Macaca fascicularis: one gene and its partner. The protein of the gene in region 1 binds, or shares a complex with, the protein of each later gene. Links are inferred from orthologs where the notes say so. Each region holds a gene or a part of one and is shown on either strand. Other genes may lie near its edges.

Region 1 (16,246 bases):
GATGCAGAGTTCCTCCCCTCCAGAGGATGCAGCAATTCAGGTGCCATCTCAGAAGTGGAGGCCGGACCCTCCCCAGACACTGAACCTACTGGCACCTAGATTTAGGACTCCCCAGCCTCCAGAACTGTAAGAAATACATTTCTGTTATTTATAAATTACCAAGTCTGCAGTATTGCGTTATAGCAGCACAAACAGACTAAGGCATGGAGAATAAATCCCAAAAGTGGGATTGCTGGGTCTGAATGATTTCTGTTTCAACCAGCAACATTTGAGACTGCCTCTCTCATAACCTGTTTCCTGGCACTCTGAGCAGCTTTTTGATCTCTGATCTGTGCCAGTCTTTGAGGCAAAAATGGTATCTCATTGCAGATTTAATTTGCATTCCTTTAATAAAGAATGAGATTGATCATCTTTTCATAAGTGTAAGAACGATTTCCAGTTCCTTTTATGAGAACTCTCTTTTGCTCATTTTTCTTTTGAGATGTTGGTCTTTTTCTTACTAATTGGTATATAATGATACATACTTTTTGTATTACTGCATATCATTTCTCCTTATATATAAGGGCATAAGCTTGTTATCTGAGTTAATTTTTGGCTTTGTTTGATTTTTTGGCTATACTTATCATGGCTTTTGCATTATGAAAGAAATGCTTTTTGTACCTAAATTTATCAACCTTTCCTTTTGTGATTTCTGTTTTGCATCAAACTGAGACAGGTCCTCCTCTCTCTGAGATTTTTTTAAAATTTTACTTTGGTTTCTTCTAGTACTTTCATGTTTTCACTTTTTATATTTAAATCTTTTATTCATCGGAATTAATTTTTGTGTAGGTGTGAGTTTAGGATCTACCTTATTCTCCTCCAGATGCCTACCCATTTATCCCAATGAAATTTATTAAATAATTCCTTTTCTCCCACAAATTTAAAATTCCCACTTTTACCAGATACTAAAGTTATTAAAAGTAATTTTTATTCTTGTAATTTCTTTATTATCTCAATTTAAACATTTTTGTAATAACCATGTTACATAATATTAATTACAGAATATTGCTACTGAAATAAGACCACTTATTACTTATATAATAAGAATAAAAGGCCGGGCATGGTGGTTCATGCCTGTAATCCCAGCACTTTGGGAGGCTGAGGTGGGTGGATCACCTGAGGTCAGGAGTTTGAGACCAGCCTGGCCAACATGGTGAAACCCCATCTCTACTAAAAGTACAAAAAAATTAGCTGGGTGCAGTGGCAGGCACCTGTAATCCCAGCTACTTGGGAGGCTGAGGCAGGAGAATCGCTTGAACTTGGGAGGCAGAGGTTGCAGTGAGCCGAGATCGTGCCATTGCCCTCCAGCCTGGGCAACAAGAGCGAAACTCCGTCTCAATAAATAAATAAATTAATTAAAAGAAACAAAGATTTTTCCTTGATTTAAACTAATGTTATAACAAATTGATGAATACATGCTAATGGAAAAAACCAAGCCATAGAGAAACATAAAAAAGGTAATGTGGCCGGGTGTTGTGGCTAATGCCTGTAATCCCAGCACTTTGGGAGGCTGAGGCGGGCAAATCACTTGAGGTCAGGAGTTTGAGACCAGCCTGGCCAACATGGTGAAACCCTGTCTCTATAAAAAAAAAAAAAAAGTACAAACATTAGCTGGGTGTGGTGGTGGGCACCTGTCATCCCAGCTACTCAGGAGGCTGATGCAGGAGAATTGCTTGAACCTGGGAGGCAGAGGTTGCAGTGAGCTGAGATCATGCCACTGCACTCCAGCCTGAGCGACAGAGTGAGACTCCATCTTAAAAAAGTAAAAAAAACATAAAAATAAAAAAAAAAAGGGTAATGTAAAATAGTCCCTTCTCACTCACTTTCCACAATACCATTTCTTTTCACACGAGTCAATACTGTTAGCAATTTGGTGTTTGTTTTTCTAAACCTTTTAAAAAATGCATTCACACACACGTATATGCATTTGTGTGTCCCATAATCATAATGTTGGCTTTCATCTTGCTTTTTTCACCTGGAGATGTTTCCATATCGGCACAAATAGACTCACCTCACTTTTTAATAGCTATAAAATGTACCCTGTTTGGCTATATCTTAATTAATGAAACCACCCCCAAATAATGAACATTTAAGTTAATTCCAGTTTTTCTCACCTACAGACAGCATTGTGAGGAACATCTCTGTGTTCTTCTCTGCACACCTGGGAGTATTTGCGAGGGGCAGGTTCCTGCTAGTAGAACTGCTAGGTCAAGAGGTTTAACATGGAGCATTTAGACAGTGCCAGGCTGACTTCTAATGCATCGCAGGAGAATGCTCATTTCCAAATACTCTTACCCATTCTGGTAACCTTTTAAATTTTTTCCAAAAGGTAGGCAAAAATTTTTTTTTGTGTGTGTGTTTTTTAAAATTTATTTTTGTAGAGATGGGGTCTTGCTATGTTGTCCAGGCTGATCTAAAATTCCTGGACTCAAGCGATTCTCTAGCCTTGGCCTCCCAATATGCCGGGATTACAGGTGTGAGCCATTGCGCCTGGCAGGTTTGTGTTATTGTATAGCTTGCAATTCCCAAGTGGGTGGTGAGATTGAGCATCCTATCCTAACTAACTGACCATTCTTTTCTTGCACATTGATGAGGTATATTTGAAACCGTGAAATACTGTTCAGGGAAGAAAGGGTAAACTATTCACTAAGAACAAAAGGGAAAACAAAATGTGTCTGCCCCCAGTCAGGACACTGGGAATGTTGGCCCCAGTGTGTAGGTGTGGAGCTGGAAGCCGAGGGATGGGAAATCGAAGCCCCAGGCCTAGGCAGGGTGGGGCTCAAAGCAGACAGTGAACTGTGGTCAGCAGACAGAGGTTCCAGGTGTGCCAGCTCTGTGTGTCTGAGTCCCGTGCCCTGTTTGAACCTCAGTTTCTTCCCCTAAAAAATGGAAGATGAACAGCTGGTGTTTGAAACCAAGGTCCCTACCACATTCTGGGGCCTTGGCTCTCTTACCTGTGCTCTCAGTGAAGTTTCCCAGGTTGAGGATGTCATTGAGCTCTTGGTAGTGGTTCTGTTTAATGTAGGTGGTCTTTTCTGGTGTGTCCTGCAGCTGCATGGTGACCTCTTCCAAATCTTTATCCAGCTAGAAGACAAAGGTTCCAGTTGAGTCAGGGTCCCTGGCCCAGCCCTGGTAGCTAGGCCACTAGGGCTAAAAGGTAGGTCACAGGGCTGGGCCTTTACCTGTATTCAGGAGTGCCCTGAGAATCAGAGGGGTTATTGCATCTTGGTATGGAGAGGCAGAAGGACCCTGACAGCTCTTTGTTCAAGGAGAAGCTATGATGACAGGGACCTGGGCTTTGCAATTATGTGTTCAGTGTAGGCTTGGGCCTTGATGAAGCAGACAAGCAAGCCCAGGGAGGTAGGGCAGGGAGAGCGTAAGAGCTCAGGCTCTGCGCAGGCCTCATGCAAACCCAAGGCTGCCCCTTACTTACAGTGAGGTTCTCCCGGCTTGTGAGAACCCAGTCTCTATTTCTTTTTCTGTAGAATGGGGTAATAATAGTACCTACTTCAGGGGGAGGTTGTGAAGATTAAACGAGATAATACATGGAAGGTTTAGCCCAGTGCCTGACACATAATAAGGGCAACCTGCTACTCTAATAATATTACTATTATTACAGGGTCTCACTCTGTCACCCAGATCAGAGTGCAGTGGTGCAATTACAGTTTACTGTAGCCTTGACCTCCTAGGCTCAAGCCATCCTCCCACCTCACCCTCCCGAGTAGCTGGGACTACAGGTGCAGGCCGCCACGCCTGGCTATTTTTTTTTTTGGTAGAGATGGGGTCTCTCTATGTTCCTCAGGCCGGTCTTGAACTCCTGAGCTCAAGCAATCCTCCCACTTTGGCCTCCCAAAGTGCTGGGTTTACAGGCATGAGCTACTGTGCCTGGACTTATAATTACTATTATTGATACTTAATAGGACCCACAGTGGGGAGGACAGACATGCAGGGCTCGCAAGCTCTGAGCCTCACGCTATCACGGAGACCCTGACTTGCAGGGACTCACTCAGAGGAGTTAATCAGGATGGGTCCCAGTCATCCCCACGTTTTTATTTTTAGAGACAAGGTTTCTCTATGTTGCCCAGGCCGGTCTTGAACTCCTGGGCTCAAGCGATCCTCCCACTTTGGCTTCCCAAAGCATTGGGATTACAGGTGTGAGCCACGGCACCTGGCCCATTCCCAGGTTATATAAAAATCAGGTGCAAGTCCTGGGGCAATTCAGCCCCAGAGAAACCTGGGCAATATGAGTGTTGGTAGTTGTGGGGGGTGGTAGTCGGGGTGGGTGGTGAACATCTGTGATATTACCATATCTGTATACATATAATGGCTTTCATCCATGATTCCTGGCTCCTGTATCTCTTGTAACAGTCTTTTGTTGTAATGTTGGGGCATTTTAGGCCTCAGGAGCAGGCCTCATGAAACAGAATCATGCTCTCTGACCTTCTCCTGTCCTTTCTCACCTGCTCAAGGCAGGACTCTAATCTGATTGTAGGTCAAAAGACCTTTATCACAGAGAGAGTCCTGCCCATACCCTGGAGGAAAGAATGCTACAGAGAGGCCAAGAAAAGTCTGAACAGACAGACCTTGCTGGGTTTAGATCATGCGTTTTTGTCCAATCACATTTCTACACAGTTGTCAATCATGCCTCGTGTAATGAAGCCTGCATAAAAACTCAAAAGAACAGGGTATGAAGAGCTTCCGGGTAGCTGAACACGTGAAGATTCCTGGAGCGTGGGGCCCAGGGAGGCAGGGAAGCTCCACACCCTTTCACCCATCCCTTGCTCTGTGCATCTTTTCATTCGCGTCCTTGGTAATAAGCTGGTAAATGTGTTTCCCTGGGTTCCGGGAGCCCCTCTAGCAAAGTAATTCAACCCAAAGTGGGATCCTGGGAGTCCCAGCTTGAAGCTGGTTGGTCAGAAGTTCCAGAGGTCTGACTTGTGGCTGGTATCTGAGGGTGGGGTGGGGGTCAGGGGGAGCCTTGGGGACTGAGCCCTCAACCTGTGGGATCTGAAGCTATCTCTAGATCCGTAGTATTGGAATTGAACCGGAGGCGCCCAGCGGGTGCATTTGGTCACAGAAGTCTTCTGTGTTGACTGTTGTATTGGTGCAAGAGCACAGGAAAAACATGGTTAGAGGATTTTTCCAAACAGCATCCTGCTGTAGTATAAGGGAGGAGATCTGATAAATTATCGGATGCTGTTCTGATGTCAGGAATACAGCCATGAAATTGTTTAATACGTTTTCATGTGGAGGAGGAGGGAGAGAGATACTCTTTTTTATGTGACTTAAATGGCAGGAGTAGGATCAAAGGGTGGGGACAACAGGAGGCCAGATTGTGATTCATTTCCAGGAAAAATAACGCAACAATTTAGAGTTTTAAACAGTGGCTTGGGTTTCCTAACGTGAGTGAACTCTTCCATGCTGAAGTGTGCAAGTAGAAGCAAAATGCGCAGTGACGTGGTAGTGCTCATCATGAGAGGCCTGATAGGGAAACAGCCCGTAATAGGCTTTGGGGGACAGAAACCCTTCTTAGTTTGCTCTGGCAGCTGCTGGTGGGTTGCCCCATCCTAAAGCAGTCATCTTTAGGTGCGCAGACAACTGTGTGGTGGCTCTCTGTGGCAGAATTCTGTGAGCCCCCCAAAGGGCTGCCAGATCTAGCAAATAAAAACCCAGAATGTCCAGTCAAATTTGAGTTTTGGATAACGAGTTCTTTTTCAGTATAATTATATCCCAGTATTATTCGGGCTATACTTTTACTGAAAATATGACTGGTTGTTGAACTGAAGTTTGAATTTAACTGGGCATCCTGTATCTAATCTGGCAACCGTATGTCTCACTTCTTCCTTGCAGCTGTCCAGCTAGAGATGATGTTTCCCAGCCTTCTCTGTCACTGGGTGTGCTCTTATCAGTTTTTGCTGATGTGACTAGGGCAGAACCAAAATGTGCATAATTTTTGGTGTTACTGCTTAAGAGGCAGTCCCTCATGTGGACTTTCTATCTCTTCCCCTCCTGACACTGTGAACCAGACATGCCATCCACCCAGCTCTCCCACTATGAATGAGGAGAACAGCCTAGAGAGTTGGGGAAACCAGAGGGCAGGAACCAAGCCCAGCAATGACCTTGGGGAGCAGAGCTGCCCCACCTGGGACCTCTCTCTTCATGGCCATTTGGTAAAAGGGAAATAAACATATTTTCTTTGGGCCACTTTATTTTGGGGCCTTGTTTAGCCAGCATCATAACCAATGTACTTTCCTTGGTCCCTTTCCTGTCCCCCTCCCTAATCAGAATTCCTCTATTAAAGCAATACACAGCCTACAGAGCATGGGTCCAGGCATACCTCCAACCCAAAGGGAGGGGTAGAGGGGGGGAGGTAATTTGTTTTCCCTTCCCTGGTCTACAAGGCTTGGGCACAAGGCAATCTGGCTATGGTCTCTCTGGAATATTCAAGAACCAGTTGAGAACCCTTAGGACAAAGGCGAGGTCTGCGGCACTCTGTCTTGAAAAGTTTCTTTTCACTTTCTCTTCTCTTGTACATCATATAGATGTGGTGGTTGCTGGGTTGTGCTGGGAGAGTGAAAAACTGAGAGGGAGAGAGACACAAAGAGAGACACCAAAGAGACACTAACGTAGGAAGCTACAATAATCCGGAAGCTCACAAATCTCTCTGAGTTCCTTTCTGTCTGGGGATGGCTTGAATCAGGTGGTGCTGGCCTCCAAGAGCCTGGGCGAGGTGGCCAATGAGCTCATGTCGGATTCTGACAAACGCCTCTGTGCGGCTTATGTCACCCCTGGCTCTCGCAGCTGTAACTGCAGCTGATGACACTGCCGGGTCATGCTGCAGGGATGGTCTAGAGGAGCCTGAGAGTCCCTGCACGGGGTCAGAGGGGCTTCAGTGGCAGACGGGGCCCAGCTACTCGATGCGGAGGGAGGTACCTCTGTGATCTTCATTCGCAGGCGATGGTTTTCTGACTGTAGGCCCTCCAGGCGGGATGTGCTGGCTTGGTTCACACTGGTGACCGAGGTGGACGTTTTAGAATCTTCTTTCTTCTGATTCTGAGTGAACTGGAATCGCCTGTTCTGCGTTGCTGCATCTGGGTTTGTTCGCAGGGTGATGAGCTGAAAGGACAAAGGTGGGGGCAGGGTTGAAGAGAGAGCCCTGGGTCCTTCCTCCCATCCCACATGGCAGACTCTCCCAGCAAATCCTGCTCTGGAGGCGACAAGAGGCCCCAGGAAGGCCACAGGCTGGAAGTCAGGAGACCTAGGCTCAGGCCAGACTCTGCCACTTGCTTGTATGTGACGTTGGGCAGGCCCCTTCCCCTCACCATGCCTCTGTGTCCTTCCTGGTCACTAAGAGTCTAGTCTCCTGACCCTGATGCCACCTGCGTCCCAACCAGGGCCCCTGAGGCCTCGCTTCAGCTGCCTAGCAAGTTGCCTTAGGCCTTGCTCCTTGTGGAAAAAATAAGCCCCAAGGGCAACAGCTGTGACAACAAAGAGATAGAGGAGAGCAAAGGCCTCTGTTTGTTAAACCATTGATGAGTTCTAGAAGCAGGCTGGTAACAAGCTGTGTCATTGACAAAAGCTTGTTTTTCAGCAGCTTAAAACAACACATGGTTATTATCTCAGTTTCCGTGAGTTAGGAGTCTGGGCATCACTTAGCTGCATCCAAAGACATTTTATATAGAAAACAAAAGTTGCCACTTGACCCTGATCTTACCAGCTTATTCTAGAAACATCTCTGATCGAGGCAGGCTCTGGGCTCAGCTCTGGAAAGCAGGAGTGGAGTGACCCATGGCCCCTGCTCACTGGGACCTCATGGTCCAGAGGCGTGGGCTGGGGATGAAGGAAGGACTCAATCTTCACCAGGCCAGCGGGTATCAGGGACAGCCTACCACAGTGCCATGGCCTGCTGGGCTCTGAGGACAGTCTGGAGGGATGGTGGGGGGAAGGGAACTCCAAGGGAAGAACTGGCATCTGCCAATGCAGGGAAGCCTGGGGGAAACGGCAGGGTAAGGGCAGGTTGGGTGGTGGACAGGGTTCTCTGGGGAGACTAGAGGAGACCCGAGGGTACTGAGAGCCAGCCCAACATCAGAAACTTGATCCTAGAGCCAGGAGGACAATGAGGAGCTATTGAGTGTGACGGAGCAGAGTGCCACAACTGAAGCTTGGCTTAGAGATCATTGGGCCTCTTTTACAGGATGGAAAGAATGTCAGAGTGCCGGCAGGGAAGTCATGGCGTTGCCCTGGAGTCTGGGCGGGTGTGAACGACTAATGCGTGTACACCAGAGGTGTTCCAGTGCAGAGCTCACAGTGCCTGGGGGCTGACTGCATGCCCAGGAGGATGGAGGCACCATGGGTAGCCTGTTTGCTGAAGTGGACCCAGGTGATCTTTCCTCTCCCCTGTTCTGAGGCAGATGCCTCCCACTTGGGTCAGTAACCCCCGCCCAGTTTTGTAACTCTGTGTCCTGTTCTTTCCTTTTTGGGGGGGGTGGTAAAGGGTCTCACTCTGTCACCAAGGCTAGAGTGCAGTGGCACAATCTCAGCTCACCACAACCTCTGCTCCTCCAGGCTCAAGTGATCTTCCTACTTCAGCCTCCTGAGTAGCCGGGACTACAGGTGCGCACCACCACACCTGGCTATTTTGTTTTGTATTTTTAGTAGAGAGGGGGTGTCACCATGTTGCTCAGGCTGGTCTTGAACTCCTGGCCTCAAGTGATCCTCCTGCCTTGGTTTCCCAAAGTGCTGGGATTACAGGCACGAGCCACTACACCCAGCCACCTTCCTTTACTTTTGAGACCCACTGAGGTCAGGCTTCCCTCGACACAGATCACCCTACTGCAGGGGCTCCTGAGAAGAAAGGCCTCTGGCTCACCCGCCCACTGCGAGGTAGGATGATATTTGAAAAATCTCTCTGTCGGGTGCTGTGGCTCATGCATGTAATCCCAGCACTTTGGGAGGCCGAGGAGGGTGGATCACCTGAGGTCAGGAGTTCCAGACCAGCCTGGCCAACATGGTGAAACCCTGTTTCTACTAAAAATACAAATTTAGCTGGGTGTGGTGGCGTGCACCTGTAATCCCAGCTACTCAGGAGGCTGAGGCAGGAGAATTGCTTGAACCTGGGAGGTGGAGGTTGCAATGAGTCAAGAATGTGCCATTACAATCCAGCCTCAGCAACAAGAGCGAAACTGTGTCTCAAAATAAATAAATAAATAAATAAAAAAGAAGAAGAAGAAGAAGAAGAAAAATCTCTCTTCAAGGTGGTCCTGAAGGTCAGCCCTTCAAATAAATGGAACACGTAAGTGGCTACTAAAAACGGTGATTTTTTTTGGCGAGGTGGCTTATGCCTGTAATCTCAGCACTTTGGGAGGCCAAGGCCAGAGGATTGCTTGAGCCCAGGAGTCCAAGACCAGCTTGGGCAACACAGGGAGACCCCGTCTCTATAAAAAAATTAAAAAATTAGCTAAGCGTGGTGGTGATGCCTGTGGTCCCAGCTACTTGGAAGGCTGAGGCAAGAGAATCATTTGATCCCGCGAGGTTGAGGTTGCAGTAGGCCGAGACTGCATCACTGCACTCCAGCCTGGGTGGCAGAGTGAGAAAACAAACAAAAAAACAAACAAAAAAAGCATTATCTCCTAGCTATTAAGAAAAAGGCTGGAAGGAAACACATCAAAAACATTAACAGTAAAGAACACCCCAACAAAACATGACCAGTGATTAAATAATCACTGGGTGAATCATTGGGTGGTGGGACAAAGGGAGATTTCTGAGAAACCTGGCCTTTATTCCTCTGCATTTTCTGAACTTTCTATAATGTGAATTGTCTTCATCATAAAAAAGGAATGGGTAAACCTTTTAGAGAATGGAGAAAAGCCAGCAATGCCCCTGTGCTGGAGTCGGAGGGCAGAGGCCAGGTGGTGGGGCCAGCACCCGTACCTTCGGCACAAACACCAGGCAGAGGGTGATGGTGCTGCAGAAGATGATGACCAGAGCCACGATGCAGAACTGCACGTTGGGCTGGTCCCGGGTCAGGAAGGAGACAGCGGCCCCGATGATGCACATGATCCCCACGTTGTAGACGCTCATCCCAATGTACTTGCTGTCGTTGAGTGCAGGGATGCTGACGTTGCGGGTCTCCCAAGCTAAGAAACAACCGAACAACTGAAATGGTGAACAGAAAGGGGAGATGATCGTTACCAAGGGGCGGCACACACCCGCTGCTCTGAGAAGCTGTGGAGTGGAGGGTTACTCAGGAGGTGGGCTGCAGGGAGGGAGGGTGGGGGGCCTTGCTGTCAGCCAGGTCTTCTGGATGTCACCATCTGTCTCCACTTGTGACCCTGCTGAGTCCCGCCAAGCAAATGCAGATTGGGGATGTGACAGCTGTCCAGTTCTCCTGCACCCCTATGACTGGTTCATGCACAGACCTGCCCGAGGCCACTGTGGAAGGGGACTTCAGATAAGATCTCAACCTTCTTCCTCACTCTCTAGGGAATACTAAGGCCCAGAAGGGGTGAAGAGGTCTGCCCAAGGTCACACAGCAATATGGTAGCAAAAATGGGCTGTGTTTTTAGAAATTCACTCCAGTCTTTTTTCTATTAAACTAAGCAGATCCCTTGTGTCTGAGACTTCTATTGTCCTCAAGTGCACATGGACGCCCAGAATAGAGACTACATTTTCCAGCTGCCCTAGAGGCTAGGCGTGGTGTGTTACTAGCTTCTGACAATGCCTGTAAATAGCAGTGGTGTGCACATGTTCTGGGAAGCGTCTTTAAAGGGAAGAGGTGTTGCTTTTCCTCCTTCCTAACAGCTGGAGTGGAGTGTGATGGGTGGAGCTTCAGCATCTGTCTTAGATCACAAGGCTATGATGTGGAACCTGTGTAATGATGATGTGGGGGCTGCAAGATACAAAGAGCTGAGATTCTGGGAGCCTTACCCCAGCCCTAGATTGCTTACTTCTGGACTAGGTTTACCTGAGAGGAACATTTCCTGTCTCTTCAACCATTATTATTTTGGGTTTTTCTGTGACTTGTAGCTCTACTCGTAACCAATAGATGTCTCGACAGAAATGGACAGAGTAGAGGCCAGCTGTGATCTGAAGCAGGGTGTCGAGGGTTTAACCCTTATGGGTGGTCTAAGGGGAGGGTGGGCTGCAGGGACAGTGCAGGTGGGTGTAGGGCAGAATGGTGGTGTGGCGGGCAGGAGGAAGAGCCAAGAGAGTTGACTGGTACAGGAACCTCTGCTTTAGTGCGGCCCTCCAAGGGGCCTTCTGACAAAGGCACCTCTTCCGTGTGGCTTCAGCAGGACAGCTTCAGGCGTCTGACAGCTGCATGAATCATTTAACGTCACACCGAGGACCTGTGTTTAGAGATTTGATGGCCGCATAGTGCTGTGTGGTAGAAGCGGGGCTGGACACAAGGCCGGGGGATATGGAAACTACTCTGCCATCCGTTGGCTGGGTGACCTGGGCAAGTCACTTCACCTCTCAGGACCTCACTTTCAATGTCTGTGGACTGGGGGGAATAATAATAATAATAATACCAATGTCACAGGGTTTCTGTGTGGATGAAATGGGAGGATGGATGTCAAAGCACTCTGTAGACTGAAATGTTCTGCACCAAGGTAAGTTCAAAGCTATTTGTAATTGATCTTATTTTATACAACCATGATTATTTTCCTCTCCCTTGTCCTTTATCCTTTCTCTAAATGTGTTATCTCACAGCCCGATTTATTCCTTTTTAAAAATTCCTTTTAAAATGGGGAACCAGGCCAGGCACGGTGGCTCACACCTATAATCCCAGTACTTTGAGAGGCCAAGATAGGTGGATTACCTGAGGTCACGAGTTTGAGACCAACCTGGGCAATGTGGTGAAACTCCAATACTACTAAAAATATAAAAACTAGCTGAGCGTGGTGGTGCATGCCTGTAATTTCAGCTACTTGGGAGGCTGAGGCAGGAGAATTGCTTGAACCCGGGAGGCAGAGGTTGCAGTGAGCAGAGATTGTGCCACTGCACTCAATCTAGCCTGGGTGACAAAGTGAGTGAGACTCTGTCTCAAAAAAAAAAAAAATAAAATAAAATAGGGAACCAGGAGCCCAGGAACCAGATACTGAGTGAGAGAAGAAAACCAACAGCCATTGAAAGCCTGTTCTGTATTGGTTCCTTTACCCACGACCCACTGTGATCCCATGGTAGCTGTGCCATCTTGCAAAGGAAGAAGCAGAGGCTTGGCCAGGAGAGGTGACCTGCTTGGGGTCCCACAGCGTGAATATCAGGGCTGGATGGGCGCCAGGACTTGGTCTCTCTGACCAAGAGTCAGTGTGCCCTCCTATCAGCCATGCTACCGATGGGCCACCAAGCCACTGTGAGGGTCCCCACAATAAATGTGGGCTACCCTGGGGACCTAGTGGTTGGCTGTAAATCTCTAAAGAGTGTCAGGAGGAAACACAAAGTAACTTGTTCTTAGGCCCTCAAATAGTAGATTGAGGGTTCATGGGTATAAGTTACACTGAGGAAGATTTCTGCTGAGGATTAGGAAAAACTTTCTAGAAAAGCACTCCATCTGTGGGTTGAATGATGGCCCTAAAAGATGGCCCATATCTTAATTCCTGAAAACCATGAATGTGACCTTATTTGGAAAAAGGGTATTTGCAGATATAATGAAGGATCTTGAGATGAGATCATCCTGGATTATCTGGAAGGGCCCCAAATCCAATGACAAGTGTCCTTATAAGGGACACATAAAGGAGACCATTGGGGAGAAGAAGAGAAGGCCACGTGGAGACGGAGGTGGAAACTAGAGTCATGCAGTCACAAGCCAAGGCATGCCTGGAACCATCAGGTGCCGGAAGAGGCAAGGAAGGATGCTCCCCTGCAGCCTTCAGAGGGAACACAACTGTCTGGATTTTGGACCTCTGGCCTCCACAAGTAGGAAAGAATACATTTGTTTGTTTTGTAAGCCACTGTTTTGTGGTAATTCGTTATGACAGCCAAAGGAAACTAACACATTATCCATGAATGGCACAGGCTCCTTTGAAGAGGGTGAGCACTCCATCACTAGAGGTATAGAAGCAGTTAGTGAATGAATGCTTTGGGGGAAGCTCAGGGTGGGCTGGGGCTTGGGGCCAAAACATTTGACAGTGGGGTGGACCTAAAGGGTTGTGTGTGCTTCTCCCAGCCTTGAGATTCTGTGGCTCTAAAATAGAAGGAGTAGGGGGGTGGCAGTGGGATTTTAGTCATAAACCTTCAGGGCCAGGAGGCTGGGGACCGTTCCTTGCATATTCTAAATGGTAAAGCATCTGCGCTATCAAATATAGCTTTTGTTGACATGAGCTGGCTGAAGCTGTTAGCTTCATGTGAAGACATACAGTCATCTCTCATCTCCAACCACTTTGGAAGTAGGTGGGAGAAGATAATGAATGATCAAAACATTACAAATAAGTCCAGTTTAAAGATGTCAATATGAGTCACCATAATCTAATTTCACAGAATGAGTCTCAGAATCAAGGAACATCAAGGCTGGAAGGATCATGGAGAGTGTTTAGATTCACTCTTTGTTCAACCAGGGCTGGGGGAAGTGCAGGTCATTGACACGACATGCTTTCTCATGACAGGGAGCTTGTCCTTCTTAGGGGCTCCATGGCATCTGTGGACAGTGCTCCCTGTTATAAGAATCCATCTTTACATGGAGATGGAGTCTGCCTTCCAGCAACTTTGCTTGGGGCTGACGGTTCTGCCCTCAGGTCTGTGCCACCCATTGCTGACAGCTCTTCCAAGCTTCTGGTGACTATGAATGTGTCCTTGTCCAAACCCAGGAACTTTGGCCAGTCCTTAAGTTCCTATTTCTATATTGGGTACCTCCTGTGGACACCCCCAGGGTCATTACCTTGTGCTCAGATTGCAACCCAGTGGTCCTGTTGCTTGCATGGGAGCTCAAAAAACTTCTATGGAAAACCATAAAAGGGTGTCAACTGGTATGAAGTGGGGACCAATCTTTGCCTAGGGTCCTCATACATGCCCTTCTGGCATGGCCTCTCAAAGGACACGGGATCAATCACTAACACTTCTCTGATGCGGCAACAGGTAAGAATGCATTTGAGCAGCACGAGAGGTTCCAGTTTATTTGACTTTTGGAGAAGGCTTCATTTTTGGCCTCTAAGTGGGGTCACACAGGGGTGAAGGGTGGCTTAACCTCCCTGTGGAAAGATCTGAGGATGGTGCAGTGACCAGCTTCATGTCACTGGAGGGCTTTAAGTGGAAGCATGGTTCATATAGGATATAGGAGAGAAGATTCAAGGATCAACCTGGGCTGAAACACGGTGGGGCTGACCTTTCAAGTTCTCCCTCATGTTGGCATATCACAACGTGGCTCCGTATGTGATCTTTGATTTTTTTTTTTTTTTTTTTTTTTTGAGATGGAGTTTCACTCTTGTTGCCTAGGCTGGAGTGCAAATGGCCTGATCTCGGCTCACTGCAACCTCTGCCTCCCGGGTTCAAGTGATTCTCCTGCCTCAGCCTCCGGAGTAACTGGGATTACAGGCGCCCGCAACCACACCCAGCTAATTTTGTATTTTTAGTAGAGATGGGGTTTCACCATGCTGGCCAGGCTGGTCTCGAACTCCTGACCTCAGGTGACCCACCCACCTCGGCCTCTCAAAGTGCTGGGATTGCAAGCATGAGCCATAGCACCTAGCATGATCTTTGATTTTAAAAGATGAGTCAAGTGGAAAGAGTGCTGGGTTTGGAGTTTAGAGGTTACTAGGTAGCTTTTGGCAAATCATTCAGCCTCTCCGAGGCTTACCCTCCTCATCTATTAAATGGGGATGATCCCGCCCACCTCCCATGGGCTTAAGAGAGGATCCGCTGAAATGCTGGAAATGAACATGCACTGGATGTCAGCAGACTGCTCTTCCCGGGAGCGGTGCAGTGACAGCTGTGAGGCACAGCCACAAGTTTTTGGGTTACTCTCTGGTTAAGATCTTGACTCTGCCGCTTACCAGCTGGGTGACCTTGGGCAAGACACCAAGCCTCAGTGTCATCAGTGAAATAAGGATGTTACTTGTACCTATCTCATAGGGTTGCTGCAGGAACTGAGATAGCATGCGGCAGGCACTGAGTACACAGAGAGTAACTGCTTAGTCATGGAGGCTCTGTTTATTTTTACATTGATGGAGGCCCCTGGGAGACAGAGGCCCAACAGAGAAGTGTCCCCCCCAACTCCATCTCCTGCTCTGCACCTACCATGAGAAGTCCCTTGTAGGCATAGACGATGCCAAGCCAGATGGTCATGTGGGTGTTCTCACAGTGCTCCAGGAGAGGGCGGATGGAGATATCCCGTCCTGCTGGGTCAGGCTGTGCAAAGAGAAAACAGAGACTGCAGGGATGGCACAGGACACTCTTCCAGCAACAGGGTCCTTATCTGAGAGTCCTTTTCCCTCTTGTGAGCCATAGCCAATGCCCCTGTTCAGTGGGCCATTTGGACTCCCTATCTCTGTGTTCCTAAGGTGTGGAGCCCAGGCCTCAACTAGCATTGACTGCCTTCGGTTTGTTGGTAGCAATTCAACTCTGCACTCCAGTTCTCTGCATAATTCATGCCTCTCCAATTTGAGTCAGAGCTCCTGAGGGTAGTAACTGGGTCACTTCTGTGCCCGTAGGATCTAACACAAAACCTGGCCCAATGCAGGTACCTCTAATATTTGTTGAAAGACTGAGGGTGAGAATGAGGTATAAAGTTATGTCAGGAGGTCTTCAGGTATCTCTGGGGTTACCTCTGTGCAACTGGAGATACAGGATATACTGGCCTGCCTGAGCCTGAGGCCTGCCAAACCCTTCTGAGGAGACCCTCTTGCCCACAGCCCCATTGCTGAAGCAGTAGTGGCAGCCATGTTATGAACCACATGACTCATCCTTGGCCAAGGCTGACTGAACAAAGAACGGGCACCTGACCCCAGGCAGCTAATCCAGAGGCTTGTCAGATACCTATGAAGTTTCCTCCTACAACGTGCTCTGCCTAATGAGGGTTGATGGAGAGGATCCTTCCTGAGCACATTCTCTCTGGCAGGAACTTGAATTGGGAAACTCTGGGAGATAATTGGCCAGATGGTGGCAACAAGACAAAAAGACACCCAGGGAATGAAACAATATCTACGGTACATTAATTTTTTCTGAACCATTCGAGAGTAAATTGCAGATATCCTGACCCTTCACCCCTGAATAT
Region 2 (16,246 bases), on another chromosome or scaffold:
ATCCCTGGAAAAAGTTTCCTGTTTCTCTAAATCTCAGCTTTCACATGTGTATAAAGAGATAATTACATGTAACTTCAAATAATTTCCATACATATAATTCCTTTACACATTTAAACTGGTTCTGATTTTTATTTTTCTATTTTATCCTATTTCTTGACCTGGAAGACTTCCGTATATGGTACAGAAAAAAAAAAAAAAGCCTTGACAAATTTAAACCCATGCTTAATTTAGAGTTTCTCAAGCTAAGCACTATTGACATTGTGGGCTGGATAACTTTTTGATATGGAGGGCTTTCCAGTGCACTGTAGGATATTTAGCAGCAACTCTGGCCTATACCCATCAAGTGTCAGTAGCACCCCTCAAATCATGAAACAAAAAATATCTCCAGGCATTGCCAAAAGACCTCTGGGATGCAAAACCACCCCTGGTTGAAAACCATGGCCTTAAATGCACATAACCCACATGAATCAAGGAGAGTTTCCTGAAATTTTTCTGTCTCTCACCTAAAGGTGTAGATATACCACTGACCACTGGCTGCAATTAAAAAAGACTACTGATGATTAATGTGTATTCTATGTCTATTTTAGCTTTGAAAAATGCATTGTTTTTTTTGAATAAGATGCCACTCTTCACTATATACGTGGATATGAGTTTGAATTTTCCCCAGAAAATACTATTGTTTGAATTCCACATGAGGAGACCAGCTTTACTTAACATTCTCAAGGACTGACATCCACAGTAAAGACAAACTATTGTGCTGAAATAAAAAGCTGTTAAACTATGCAACCAAAGGCTTTTTCCACACACTCAGATAGCACTCCCACACACATTATCCACTGAACTGACATAAACCTAAAAATTGCACATGGTTATGTGCACACTCACACATGCACACTGATATAATTTGAAAGCAACTCTCATTACTTTATTAAACATCAGTTCTGCTTCCATTTGTGATGGATGGAGACCACATCAGCAGGAAGAGAATATAAAGTTATGTTGATTTTTCACTGTGCAAATGCAGGTAAATTATCTAAAGGTCAATTCTAAAAATAAACTGATAAGATGGAGGAGGTTGCTGGAGACAAGAGACTTAATAAACCCTCTGGTTGGCATATAAGTGCTTTTACAAAGCTGATTAACAGGAAGATTACCCCCGCCCTCCTCCAGGACAAGCCCTTGATAGTTGCTAGGCCAGGCACATTTTTCTTTATCCTTTTAAAAGTAAATTTCCTAAATAATGCAAGGATGACAGTCTGGGAACTTAACATTTTTTACCCAATTGGCAACAAAATTTGTTCACAAACAAGAGAAACATTTTTGAACCTTAGGAAGCTGGGACAGAAAAGAAATCCCACTTAGGAAGCAGAGGAGAGAGGGCAACAAACTGAATCAAATTTAACCATTTTTGTTTTAATCTTGGCCAGTTTAACATAATTAGTTGCTCATGTTCAACAGTTTCATTAAGCGTACTTCACTTTCCTTTGGCAATAATATTTACTCACATATTCACTCATGATCATGACAAGCGTGATCTCTATTTTTATCTTTCTTATAATGTGGGAATTTGGTATGTATCCAGTTATTCTGTTAAATGAATAGAGTCAATTGGATCATTGAAACCCGTTTGAATTCACTCTTTCTTGCTTTCTTTTTCTTCTCTTTTCTTTTTTTTTCTTTTTTCTTTTTTGGCATTTATTCTCAAACATGAGTTTGGCTTCAAGTTTTTAGTTAATGTCAGGGTTCATGATCTTCAATTATCTGAGAGCTTCATAGTCCTGATTGAGTCAAATTGGACAAACTTAGCAGTTCAATGGCACAGGATTTGTTTGGTAAAATGTAGCTGAATTCACTAACCATTCCATATTCATTTTGGTTATATTTTATGTGCAGTTAATGGAATCACCTTTGGGGCCATATACATCATTAAATTATGGGTCACTTTCAATTTCCTCCTACTCATACTAAGTAAGGTCCTAGAAATAAACAACTCTCCTTGGGAAAGATCATTATTTTTATTTCTTGTTGGGTATCATTAGAATACATCTCACTCAGAGATGTGCTCCCATCTACCCAGAGCTAAGACTATAATAATGTAGGCTTTTATTTTGGGAAAAAACCCATACACATACACACACAATATGGAGAAAGGGTTATGGTTGACATACAGCAGATGAAATGGCAAAGAATTCATGAAAATCTATTCTGCTCTAGTCTTAGGATGTTTTTCTTTGGGATTTTTCTCTTAAGATAATGAATAATGCGTGCTTTGACTTATTTGTAGTGGGAAGGAAGTAAGAGAAAATGAGGAAATGCTTCTAAGAAGTAAAGGAACTGTTGGTCTCTGCATATTCCCTAAATAGCAGAAATTTTCAAAATAAGGTCTATAGACAATCTTCATCAAAATTATTAAGGAGACTAGCTCAAAATACAAATTTCTTGGCCCTGCTTCAAGTTTCCGAATCAGACTCTTTGAAGATAGGTTGAAGGAATCTGCATTTTTACAAGTGCTACACATGAATTTTATGCATACTGAGTATTAAAAAACACTGTTAAAAAGCTTGCAATGGAGATCACTGGAAAAAGAATCTCCATTCCAACATATACAGCAAGATGAGAATAATAGGCATTTCAAACAAATAAGCTCTGTGCTTGCATCACAAGGCTGTGATTATTAAAGTTTAAGACTCTATTCTTTCAGCAGTGGTAGAGAGCAATAACCATTTCGTCTGAAACCAGAATGATGAAGGCAATATAAATCAAACCTATGCCAGCAGGTTTCATTTGGTCTAATTTCTCTGCAGATATTAATCATTATACAGTTCTATACAAATGACATGTAACTCCATTGTAACTCAGGATACCGAATGTTCACTCTGGTTCTTTCTCTAGTTGCTATTTTGACAATATAAAAGAAAATAAATAAATTAAAAATGTGGGGCATCAAGATTGCAAGACGCCAATAATACCAAGACATTAAAGAGAGAAATGGCCCATGCTAAACCCGTAACCCAGCATGCAAATTGGCAAAAATGTTTATCTGCCAAAGAGTCACCATAAGGAAAAATGAATTCCCTTCGTTTTTCTTTTGAAAATTGGTGTGTCAGGTGGAGGTGACAAAGAATTCTTCCTAAAAATTCACAGAAAGAATCTTATTAATTCTAGTAAAGATCATCTAGAAGACTAAGGCTAGTCAAATTCCATGGCATAGTATATAGTGGCAGAAAATACCAGCACTCAAATTCACAGATCCACTCTATAGTAGATACAAAGTTGGAAGGCTGGAATTGCAACAAAGGAAAATGTATAAGAATCAAAATTTGGTTTCCATTGTGGGAGCTGGTGTCAAGTAATTTTGCAAAACACCATACATGCCTTCCTTTTGTCTCATTGGAGCATGTTTTGTCTGACACCAACAAAGGATACTCAGAGAAGAATCTAAAGCCCAGGAAAGCAAAAGTAATCCAGAAGCACAGGAAGTAATGGGGCCCAGAACAAGCAACACATCTGTGCCTATGGATAAAGGTTCCTCTGAATCGAACAAGGCTAACTGAAAAGAGAAAAGTTCCATGTCAGCACCCTTTAATAAATGTGTTCCCCCAAAATGAATTGGTTGGAATAGATACAACTATGAAGGAATAAAGAGCAAAGGGAAAACTTATTATTTGTGCATTGTTCCCCCTTTTATTTTAATTCACCGTGCATGCATTTTCAGTAAGATAACTGTGCCTATAAATACAAAGGATAACATCAGTGCATATATTGGAAGCCACTTCACTTCATTATTTTTTGACAGCATTTCAGTGCAATTTTTCCTAGCGGGGGAAAGAAAATCACACTACCATATGATCTATTAGTTTTATATTCCTGTCTTCCCCTTTTCCTGCTGAATGTGGATCAGTTCATTTTTGATAGTGGGTAGAAGGACTTTGTAAATACGTTTCTGACTTTAGACGACTCACATACCTTTAGAGAATGATCTCCCCAAGCTCACTGGATTTTAGTGGGATTTCCCAGAAGGCAATCTAAGTTGGGGCTCCATACATGTGATTCCCCATTCATTGTATCCATTTGATATTACTACTTTCTTTATATTAGCAATTTATGGCCCTTGTCATAACCAATGTTCTAGAAGCAAACCACATACATTTTTTGTTCAGAATTAAACAAAAAGTTCTAAAAATTATTTTAACTTCAGGGAAACATGCCCGAGTCACAGTGACTACCAGAGTTACTAGAGCATGTACTCTTATAACTCACTTACCCAGAACTCTTTTCCAATGTTGCAGGCTACCTGAACCTCACTTGATAACTCCACTCAAACTAGGTACTTTAAGCCTCCTCAGAGCCTTTTACTGGCCAGGTCTATGTTCATCTCTATACCAACACTCACACAAATAAACGCCATGCTATTGTCTTAGTTACTTGAATATTTTACTATGGGATGGGTGCCAGCCGAGAGGTGGCCCAAAATAAAAATACTGCTGTTGTGATTGTTTTAAACAGGTTTTCTATTCTAGCTTTGTTCACTGGGTATATAAGGAATGTCAGAGCAGAGAAAACTGATGACAGGTCAGGGGTCAGAAGAACACTGCCATTAACACTCCTTTTGCAGTGTTTAATTTCCTGTTTAAAGAATGTAGTAGAAATATTGGGTTGACTATCATCTTAATTCTTTAATTCTTATGAGGGTATCTCTCTATCTTGAGGCCATTACAGTCAGGTCTGAAATTTAAGGAAGTTGGAACTTTGGCCATTTTAGTTAGACACCAAAGTCTTTGACAGCACTTCCAGTGATAACACAATTATCATATGACCAAAGTGAGTTTCAGGATATTTTCCCCAAATTCAACTTCTTGACCCATTAAGCTCTGTGATTCTTTGCAAGATCTTCTGTTATTAGGATGATGGTATTTTCATGTGCTATCAAGAAACATTGAAAATAATGAAGACATACTGGTAGGCTTTACAAACAAAGCTATGTTGTAGTTAAGATCAAATATCTGCTAATATATTAATACAGAAAAGAACATCACTTAAATTCATAAATTATAATTCTCTTGATAACTCAACTCCCAAGATATACTTTCTTTTTCACTTATGTAAAAACTTTAAACTCCATTCAAACCTTCAGGACAAGGAAAACTTAGCTGAGCCTGTCATCCAAGTGTGAAGGCGAGAATTACAAAAATTCAGAAAAATATTCATATACTAATCATCACTAAGAACAGAAATCAAGACAGAACCTCTTACATAATAAATGTGCATCAATGAAAGATTTTAAAAGGAAGAAATTAGTCATTGTTTTCCTCCTACCGATATCATCCAATTGCCTTTATTACCTGTGGTACACATACACACATGCACACACACGCAATGAAACAAATTAGGAGTGCTTGGCACACAATTAATAATTGACAAATCAATTTTTGGTTACTACTGAAATGCATGAGGAATGCTGAAAATAAAAACTGGTCTTTCAACCTTCATGTAGCACAAGTCTATGAAAGAGCTATTGGTACCTTAGTAAAATACAGAGTTACATGGATGGATAGCTATTAGCGGTTTCTTTTTGGCTGTGTCTATACTGGATAGGATGTAATTGAAAAAGATTGTTTCATTTAGAAATCTGAAACCTTAACTTTGGAGCTTCAGTTACCTTGCTGGGTTGTTACAAACATCATAAAAATGACACAGCTAAACCCTAGCATGGGCACAGCCAAACCCCGAATCCCAAAGACAAACAAAAAAGGCTACCAGCAAGTAAAAATGTAGCTTTGTAGCTTAAAATTTTTATAAGAAATTATTAGATTGTATGTGGAATACAACTTTCTCTAAAACAAACAAAAGGCCGGACCCTTATTTGAGTACTGTGTGTTGTCCTTCGTTCCATAACACAGGAACACAGAACTTAATGTGGATTACGTGGAAAGGCCACACCATTAAACTGTGGGCAGTAAGAACTCTGAAAACATGGAGAGAAAGGTGATAATTTAGTTCAGGGTAGAGAAGGCTGAGTGTGGGGTCATTTAGCAGAAAATTTTGCGAATACGAATGTTTGATTTTTTAACACAAAGAATGTTTGACCAGCTCTCCTCATCCTCTCTTAATGCAGACAAAGAGCAAAGCAGTAAAATGGAGCCTGAGGGTATTAATTTCAAAATAAGGAATACAATTTGTTGATGATGAGGGTCATTTGATGTTAGAAAGCGTTGTGAAGAAAGGTTGGGAAATCTTCCCAAAAGAATTTTAAGAAAGAGTCAGAAGCTCATCCATCTGAAATGTTCTAAGAGAGGGCTGCTGGGAGCAGGAGTACAGCCCTTGGGATGTCTAGGCCCTGGCATCGTGTGCGTAGTGTGTATATACATACTTAGTTGTGCTTATGTTGCACAAATACTCATGCATACAGAGTCAATATAAACTGGCACATATAGATTTGAGTGAAAAGTCATATAAATCTGCCATTCCCCCCCTACCCCATAAACAAAAGGAAAAAGCAAAATTTAAAATTCCAAACTTATGCCATTGGGCCAGATCTTTTTTTTACCATACCCTCATTCAAAGGAGGGAGGTAGAAGATGAGAGAAAAAAACCCGGTTTGGGATAAACGATTCCCAAGGCCTCTCAGCTACTTTTATATAGCTGACTCTCATTATATATAAGATACTTAGCACATGGGACCAAGTAAACAAACAAATAACTAAAAAAGATTTTCTTGTACTTCCACATCTAGAAAGAAATCTACCCTGTGGATTTACATGTTAAGGTGAACTAGGTAAAGTAGGCAGTAGTATATCAATGGACTATTGTGTTCTAAGAAATGTGCATCATTAGTTGTATTTTTTCCTTTAAAATATGAATTCCTTTTAGGAGGTTAATTTCAAAATGAAGACTTTTTTTTTTTTTTTTTTTTTTTTTTTTTATCTTCCCACCCCCAGCCCTCCCTTATAGATGATACTTCCGTAAAAGTTCAGATTGCCAAGGATGTTTTCTCTCGGGAAACCGATCTGGAATTTTGATTTTTAGGAAATCCTGGATACATTTCTCCAGCTCCTCCTCAATTGACAGCTTTTCTTTAACAGCTTTTTTTTTGCTGCTCATGTTCGATTCCCTGGAGCCTGAAGTCAGAGTCCGGAGTAAGTCGCTTTTCCGCCGCATCTCTGACTGTTGGATCAGCTGGACAGGGCCCTTCTTGATGGGACGGTCCAGAGTCTGGATATTGGTCTGGCGTGTCACGGGACCACAGATGACCGTCTCCTGGGGAGAGCTGGCCTCAGACTGGCTGTCGCAGCTGGATGTGGAGAGGTCATTGCAAGACGTGCCACTCTCCCCTTCTTTGTCACCTTTGCCATTCTTGCAGCAGCAATCGCAGTGTGAGGGTGACCATCTGGAAGGCTCACCTGAAAAGAAAGCACAGGACCCAAAGGATTATTGCCAGCCAGGTCAGTTGGAGTAGCAGCATAGCACTTGGACATACACACAAACACACATAAGAGAAGCACCATGGAACCATGCTTTTAGAAAAAGTGGGGTGGTACCCAGGGTGGGCTGCAACAGGAGCCAAAAGCCAAGTCCATGAGGGGAGGAAATTAATGATGGCATGCTATATAAGAGGAAATATAGTATAATGCTTGAGCCCATGAGCACGGGAGTCAGAAATACCCAGCTAACATCATTTATTAAGCTTGTCACCTCGGCACATTCCTTAGATTTTCAGAGTCACTTTCCTCATCTGTGGTTTAAGGGTAATAACTTTCCTGCTATCTGGAGTTACAGGAAGGAGTTAGATAAGTCAAAATTCTTAATGCAGTATCTCTCTCACAGTAAACTCTCAATAAAAGCTAGCCGATTTCCCATAGCTGATGAAAAGCTCCAAGTGACAGCAGTCAGGTACAACAGGAGGACGCTATCAAAACAGAATGACAGTAACCAGAGAAGGGGGACTGACTCTGTGCCTGTCCCTATCTGGGTATCCCTCAGCTCCTTGGTCCTTAACGAAAACTCTGTTAACTCAGTAGTTTCAATTTCAGTCTCCATACAAGGAAACTAAGACCCCAAGAGTTTAAGAAACTTGCCAGAGTTTGTACAATTTGAAAGTGGCAGAGCTGAGATTTGAATACAGACCTTCCAAGGGCCATAACCATACCAATTAACCATTTTATTCAGTATCCTTGTTAGTAAAATCTTTGCTTCTACTTCAAAACAATTTGCAGGTTATAACTTCTCTGAATTTCTTGTTAACCTCTCCTCAGACGTATTTGCTTTTTTCTCCTCTCTGAATTATAGTTCTACTTTGTAAGTTCCTCTATTATAGCACATATTACATTTTGTTATATATCATATTAGCTACTAGGCCATGAGCTCCTTAATATGAGCATAGTGAAGTATCCATTGTTGTAATAGAGCAAATACGCCAAGGAACAATGTAGAAATTCAATAAAAGGCCATATTATAACTTTTAAGTATCTGGATCTAGCCACACCTGAAGCTAGTCTTGCCAGTGAGCTTTTCATTTATATGATAAACTATATTCTGTGTCATTTTTTCAGCCAATGTGAGTCCCTCTTCTCCCATTCCTCTGAGTCTTGACTCATAATACTGCATTTAGCAATTTGAAGGCAGAGCAATGCTGCAGATGCACAGTGGCTCCATGAACCAGAAAAAAAAAAAAAAAAAAAAAAACACACAATCATGGCACAAAGCAACTTCCTAAAAATAAGTCACTGCCCCCCACTTCCACCCTCTGAACAGCCACAGTCTTCCTGGAGTCATAAACTTAATACTATTTACTGATCATGTATTACATGCTGGGCACTTCTACAATTCTTTGTACTTAATCCATAAAAATAAAGAGAACAAATTCCTTTATGATGTTGAGGACAAGGATAATGTAGTACCTTTATATAGTTTTAAAGGAGACCCCATTTAGGTTTACACCATATCTTATTCTCATGAATCATAGGTCACATTATGTAGGATCTTACTTTATTGCCATTTCTAACATAGTCAAAGTAGAGAAAACTTAGAATGAAAACTATTAGGAAAGTTATGTCCTATCTTCTTGGATAATGCCTGTTCTTTACACACTAAATGATTTAAACATATACCTACTTATCTCCATACAATTTTTAAAGAGAAAGTAAAACAAAAGTTTCTATAAATCACAACTCCAGAAGTATTCCTAAATTATACCCACTCTTTCAAGTCACTTTCTAAAATGTGACTGAGTAATCATTGTGTTTTTAAAGCTGTTAAACTAAATGCAACAATCCAATTAGCCAAAAGGAATCACAATAGCAGTATTGTTCTAGTTATCTCATGCTATTATACATTTTCCATGCAATACAGAAACTGTTCAACATATACCAGCTGGTGACTGAAAATATCAGTAATAGAAAATGATTTCTGTCTGCCAGCATACATTTTGAGGGCATCATTTTTTACCTTCACTAGGCAGAATCTGCTTCTGCTTCCCCAAACTCGGCAACCCCTATGCCAAAATGACTTAACTGAGAAATGGTTCCAATGAATTGCACTGAAGAAAAGTAATCACATCAAACCAGAGACAATCTGGTTTTAAACCTTTTTGAAAAAGTGCAGAAATTGAATTTAGCTTTTACAAAAAGAAAGAAGAGGGAGAGGGGAAATACAGAAAGGAAGAAGAGAAGAAATATATGCTGGGAAACACCTATTACCTTAAAGCAAGATTACAAAATATTTTGGCCATAAACCCTGCTGAACCAGTAGAGAAGCAATTGCTGTGTCTTTTTGTCCAAGAGTCAATCACCTTCCCCATGGTTAAGTCATTTCATTCAATGGACCCAGAAGAAAACTTGAGACTTCTACAAAAGTTTTTGTTTGGGTTTTGTTGTTGTTGTTGTTGTTGTTTTGAGACAGAGTCTTGCTCTATCGCCCAGGTTGGAGTGCAGTGCTGCTACGATCTCAGTTCACTGCAACCTCCACCTCCTAGGTTCAAGCAATTCTCCCACCTCAGCCTCTTGAGTAGCAGGGACTACAGGCAACTGCCACCACGCCCAGCTAATTTTTTGGTATGTTCAGTAGAGAGGGGGTTTCACCATGGCCAGGTGTGTCTTGAACTCCTGACCTCAAGTGATCTGCCTGCCTCGGCCTACCAAAGTGCTAGAATTATAGGTGTGAGCCACCGCACCCAGTCTTCCCAAAGTTATTTTAACAACACAAACACCATCATGTGAAGGATTTCTGTATATTCATGTGGAAAATTGCATGAAGCCCTCACTATGTGCCAAGCCAGGAACCTGGCAATGGTGCAGTTATTTCCTCCCTGAACTGCTGGGATGATCATGTATTTAAATGTCATGTGGGATCCTCCAGCTACCAAACAGAAGTATTGCTTTCCACTTACTCTGGGCACTATCACTATCAAAGGGAAATTGAGCAACTTAATTCTCATGGAGGTTGTCATGCTGCCGTGTTTCAAGATTTTATGAGAACATTTGACTGTTTTACTTGCCATTTATTTTGGCAAGATAATTTATGAGATGGCTTCTGAAGTCTATATATTATATTAAACCAAAAAAGAAAGATAGGATCAGAAGGGCCCCATCCAGCTCATCCAATATTATAGGATTAATAGTACTACAGCCCAAAGGTAGTCCTACATGAAGAGTCGTTGTGAAGTTTGAAAAATAATCAAACGTGAGAAGATGACCACCCCATATCTTTTCTAGGAGCACTGTCTGCCTGACTACCCTCTTCCCAAGAACCTAATGACAAGCAAAGAGGTTTTAAATCAGAACACAGAAATGACACATGTAAGCTCCAGACCCTTTGACCTTGCAGAACCACTGTGATGTGCTTACAAGTCTTGGAAAGTATGGAAAGATCTATGAAAGGTCAGTTCTGTAACACAAAGTATTCTAGAATCCCCCCAATTATAGCAAATAACGATCTCATAAATACCTTGGTACTTCAAATTGCAACGTATTTTGCTTCCAATTTGCTGAGGTTTCAATACTGGCTGGAATAATTCTCTCCATTTGGGGAGAAAATAGGTTACAATTGATTAGCCAGATGTGGGAAGAAAACCATTTCATTCCAAGAAAAGTCTGATTTATTGATATTAAAAAAGCAGGAAATCTATTGCCTGTTTGGGGAGTTATTATCTAGTTGCTGGTCAGAGAACCTAATAGCTCTACCTTGTTTTTTAATAAGTCATTGCTGAATTTGTTGAATATGATTTTTGGTGCCTGCTGCATAAGAGTGGCTTGATAAATGTTTGATGAATAATCAATGAATGAGCTGAACACATATGTTGAATTGTATCAAGTTGATAACATGGCAGTGCAGGTCTCAGGCGCCAGAGTCAGGCTTCACAATTTGTCACCTATGAGACCTTACATAAATTAGTTCAACTCTCTGAGCCTCAGTTTACTCATCTGAAGAATAAGGCTGTTAATAGTATTCTCTTCACAGGGCTTTGAAGAAAATTAAATGAGGTAGCTAATGTAAAAGATGTTTCATAATTTGGGGCACACTAAGTATTCCATTCAGTTATACATCTTTGTTCTACTACAATCCTGACACTATTCCATATGAAGGAAACAAATCAAGGGCTTGCTGTATAATTATAATGCTTCCATCAGTACACCACACAACTAATTCTTAGGTCTAGCTGGAATATCACATTAGTAATGACACTGATGTTACAGCTGGATGCATCAGGAAAATGTGTATTCAGTACTTAGTAATGTCTGCCTCAGCATAGGAATGGTGTGACCAATGAGTGACCACAAGCACATACTGTGTGTGGCACATGGTGTGTGAACAGGGGATGTTTTTGGAGAAAAAGGAGTCTTTACAGTGCAATGCTTAAAATTTCACAAATGGATGAGCTCTTCAGGATAAAAATTTACTTGAAAACACATCAAATAAACTCAAATCCAGAATGGGAAAGAATTTGCATTTTGGATTAAACAGGGAGAGGCAGGAAACTCAGTTATATTAAGTCCTTAAAGCCCTAAATCTTCAAGCATTTTACAACTTAGAAAAACTGAGGACTAATCAAGCAAATGGTATGATTAGACTTGGCCCCCTTCCACTATAGACCTCACTGTGTCAGTTCTTACTGATAAAGAAGAACTTAAAGAGGAAAGACTACAGAATATTTCTCCTCTATGAAAAATTCAAACTGAGCTGAGTGAAACATGACTTAGCAAACTCACAAAGTGCTTATGCATTTTTAAAAGAGGCAGCTCTGCAATGTACCCACACTTCAAATTTTCCACCTGCTAATGGCTGTGAGCACAATGCACATCATTTACTGCAACAGCTGGGAAAACTGCTTTTCCCTGTCTTCTCTGTCAATGATGTAGGAGCCTGCAAGTCTGGGAGCTAGGTGGCCAGATTTAATTTATCGAGGCTGCTGAAAGGTTTTCTTGGTATCCCAGTTGAAAAGTCAATAATGGCCAAATTGATGTTTTTATAATTCTGCTAACCTTGAAAAAGATATTGCATACTGAGAGATCGGGAATAGGCAGGCTATGAGAGCTTCTGAAAAAAGTTTGTCTTCAAGCTTGACAATCATCGCTTCTTGCTTGCAGTTGACCTTTTTTACTCATGAACAGTTGGCCTTGGAGGGGCCCAGTGGGAGCTTCTACTGAGAGATGGTTAGTATGGACAAGAACAGACAGTTAAACTATCCATGCATCCATCAGAGTCAGTCAGGAACACAGGCACCCCACCAGTTACCTGAACAGGGAGATTTAACATAAGTATTGGTTAGACAGATATGGGAGAAGTGAAAATGCAAACAGGTAGCAGTAAAGAGACAAAGATAGTGGCTACACAAGGTGGTTACCATCCTTAAGTCTAAGGAGACAAGTAAAAGAAGATGCAGTTATTAGAACCTTAAATCTTAGAGGAGGCATTGTGTGGAGGTTGGACCCAGACATCTGAAGAGGGCATGTGGCCTGCTGGTGCTGGTGTCTTTGAATCAGCCTGGCTCTGGGGATTATAGAGGGGAAAAAAGGGAAACTGGAACCAACTGGTTTTGGAGTAAACAAAAGCTGAGTTGACGCTGATAGGAGCAAGCAAGGAATTCTTCCCATGTTTTAGTGTCTACTTCTAGCACCCCTATTGACAGAGCCTAACAGAAAGCCAGCTAGGCAAAGGAAAAGTGTAGTTAGCCTGTGTGGTTAACCCAAATCCCAGTCCTGGCATCACAAATAGAGTATAAAGGGATGTGTTTTGCACTGAGAGACAACACCTTAATAACGAGGACACTCCCTGCGAGGGATGCAAAAGAAATGAAAGACACTCTTGACCTGCAGGAATGTGTGCTCTACTGCACAAGCTAGGAAATGAAAATTAAAAAAAAAAAAAAAATTCACCTCAGTTCAGCTCCTGCCCTGCCAGCCATTTTTTATACTTCAAGGTTTTGTGTGTGATCTTCCCTTTACCAGCCACGCATCCTTCTACTTTCAAGCTAGCCTCAACCTCCTGCCCGTTGCTTTCACAGCACCATAATGTATAAACATGGGTGGGTTTCTAGGTTTATTGGCTTAATGTCTGTTTTCTGCACTAGACTATAAGGGATGTGCTTGTTTCCTTCTGAATTCCAGACCATGCTCCAGGGCAAACACAGATCAGCATGCCAGGGCGTCTAGTAGCAGATGCTCATTGAATAGCTGCATGATAAATGAATGGGGGAGGAAGCCTGTTATGTACAGAAAGCAAAGTTTAGTTTAGAATGTGTGAATGTGTGTGTGATAGAGTAAACCTTTCACCCAAAAAGAAAAATGGATTGAAAATTCTGACATGCAAAAGACATTAGAATGGAAAATATTTAGGCATGTTGCTAGACAGTCAATGTACATATGACAAAAACATGCTGACCCAGAGAGGAAAATGGCAAAATCTACAGGCCTATCAAGAACTTTAAAAGTGTTTTACATTTATTTTATATATATATAGTTATATATATATAATATACATTATATATAACATGTGTATATATATTATATATATATATTATATATGTGTGTATATATAAATTGACCATCACTCAGTAATTTATTAGTATAAACATCCCTAAAGCATTGAACGATTAGGTAAAAAATTAACTTCCTTAACCATTTAGCCCATGGTTCCTATTTATATAATTTCCCTATTTGATAATGATCAGGCATACCCTCTCAGCTCCGGAGCTTCCAATGTTAGATTTTAGAGCAATGCAATGATTTGTAGAACTGCCTTGCTCTTTTAAGTGTTCCTTGATGACACATGTATTCCACTTTCCAAGTCATTTTTGTGTTTTTCTTGCTTTCTTCCTCATTTTATTTCCTCATCTTAGTCTCAGCTGTTTTGGACTAAGATCACACTTGATTACTTCTGCCCAAAACATATTTGTTTGCCTACTTTAGGTTCTGCAGCTCATCCTGACCCCTTTTCCTACTTGGTCCTCTTCATCCTAGAGACTTCCTTTTTCATTTTTCTTTTCACTGATATTTTTTGTAAATTGGAACAAGTCTCTCAAAGCCTGCAGCTCCTCGCAATCAATATCTCGGCATCTTTTGTCTCTTAAAATGAAATGTATATGTATTAACTACAGAGTTTGTGTGTTCCATTCTTCCAGTAAAAGCCTCCTTCTTTCCCTTTCCCTATTTCACATTGCCCTTAAACGACTGTCAACCATGGTGGTGGTACTTCTCAGAGGGGCACACACGACCCCCCACATTTGAACAGAGTACTCCCCACCCCCTGACCATAGTGGGTGGTTCAGGTAAGTGCATGAGACTCAGGACGGGTGAATCCAAGTTCTCATTGGGACTGTTCTGGTGAAATACGGTGGGTCAAATGTGCCCTATGATTTGAGAGGTTGCCAAGTGAGGGGTATGTGAGCCCAATTGCCATCTTCCATACCTAATGGGAGGACTTTCAGTCAGAAAGAAGCCAAGTGAGACAGGCAAAGCTGGGAAATAGTGAAGAGACAGAGACCTACATCTAGCAGTATTTAAATGGGCCCAATCCCTAGGTTTATGATTTTATCTTTTGGTTTAATCTAGTGGGAGTAAATTTTATGTTATAACCAGAGTCCTGAACACTACATTAAATTCATGTAAACGCACTTACTATCTGTTTAACGTACCCTTTTTATCCTCTGAGCACCTATGCAAGTCTAGCACTAATACTGGTCAATGCTTTAGGGGACAGGCACTATTACTATTGCTAAGCTACTTTGTAGGTAACCTGTTTCTTCTCTGGAATGGTAACCGCTTTGCTATACCAGTCTCAACATATTTGACTTAACACCTCAAAAGATGTACTGTAGCTCCCTTGCTACCTATTGTGCATTGCGATTCCAAAAGTGAATAAGGTAACAGTTAACTCTTCCAAACCAGAAACTTGGTGAAATTCTAATAATAGATATTATTTATTGAGAACTCCCTGTGTCTTTTTATTGTGTTCAGCACTTTACATAATTTTATCTTCACAATAATCCTGTTAGTGAATGGTGAATTAGTAATAATCTCATTAGTCAATTAGGATGCTATTCTTTTCTTTTCATGGAAGAAGAAACTGTAGCTAAAAGTGGTTAATTATCTGATCCAAAGTTATAAAGTTGACAAGTGGTGAGAATTAAAACTCAGATCTTTTTAAATACAAAGCATCTGCTTTTTATTTAGTGCACACAATATCCAAACATGAAAATTTTCTATGAGAGATATTTAAAAGTATTAACAGAGTGAAAGAGTTTAAATATTGATGTTAAACATGACTGCCCCAGTGATTCCAGCCCTTCAATAACTTCTAAAAGTAACCAGCTATTTGAACAACTTAAAAGCTCAGGCTTTCTTATGTCTTTTATCATTATATTTACATATAAAATGTAAGTTCCCTTCCCTCTGCCCATTGAAAATAATGAAAAGGACTACCTGAAGGATACAGTGTCAGTGGTTCTCTTCCTGATGTGTGGGACATTTTGCATCCTTCCACCATTTCTCAGTTCTACCAGGGCTGCCTTGGTAGCAATCACCAGTGTGTGAAGTGTGCACTTAATTAGTTCATGAAAAAAAAAAAAAAAAAAACCCTTGCTAGTGAATTAAGATATAATATTTGCTAATATTGCTTAATGAATACTCAACAACCAACCAGTATGTGATATCTCCTCCAAAAGGGAAAAAATATATGGCCGGGCAGGCTGGCTCATGCCTGAATCCCAGCACTTTGGGAGGCTGAGGCAGGAGGATCACCTGAGGCTGGGAGT

Evidence for each region.
Region 2: the proteins of GABBR2 (region 1) and KCTD16 are in contact, whole or in part, in a crystal structure (PDB 6M8R), measured with the Homo sapiens proteins. The link is inferred for Macaca fascicularis from reciprocal best matches to the Homo sapiens genes GABBR2 and KCTD16. Residues at the interface, in NP_005449.5 of Homo sapiens: Ile882, Asn883, Ile888, Gln889, Arg891, Leu892, Ser893, Leu894, Gln895, Leu896, Pro897, Ile898, Leu899; in NP_001357415.1 of Homo sapiens: Asn30, Gly32, Gly33, Gln34, Val35, Tyr36, Asp64, Leu65, Ala66, Lys67, Asp68, Ser69, Arg72, Phe74, Gly79, Phe80, Arg83.

What each region holds. Positions count from the first base shown.
Region 1 is NC_088389.1:59,814,962-59,831,207, reverse strand, and holds part of GABBR2 (gamma-aminobutyric acid type B receptor subunit 2), read right to left. Parts: intron 15,382-16,246; coding exon 15,271-15,381; intron 10,195-15,270; coding exon 9,970-10,194; intron 7,156-9,969; coding exon 6,973-7,155; intron 3,124-6,972; coding exon 2,994-3,123; intron 1-2,993. UniProt on the Homo sapiens protein: Component of a heterodimeric G-protein coupled receptor for GABA, formed by GABBR1 and GABBR2. Within the heterodimeric GABA receptor, only GABBR1 seems to bind agonists, while GABBR2 mediates coupling to G proteins.
Region 2 is NC_088380.1:150,966,500-150,982,745, reverse strand, and holds the end of KCTD16 (BTB/POZ domain-containing protein KCTD16), read right to left. Parts: intron 7,401-16,246; coding exon 6,946-7,400; 3' UTR 2,000-6,945; downstream 1-1,999. UniProt on the Homo sapiens protein: Auxiliary subunit of GABA-B receptors that determine the pharmacology and kinetics of the receptor response. Increases agonist potency and markedly alter the G-protein signaling of the receptors by accelerating onset and promoting desensitization.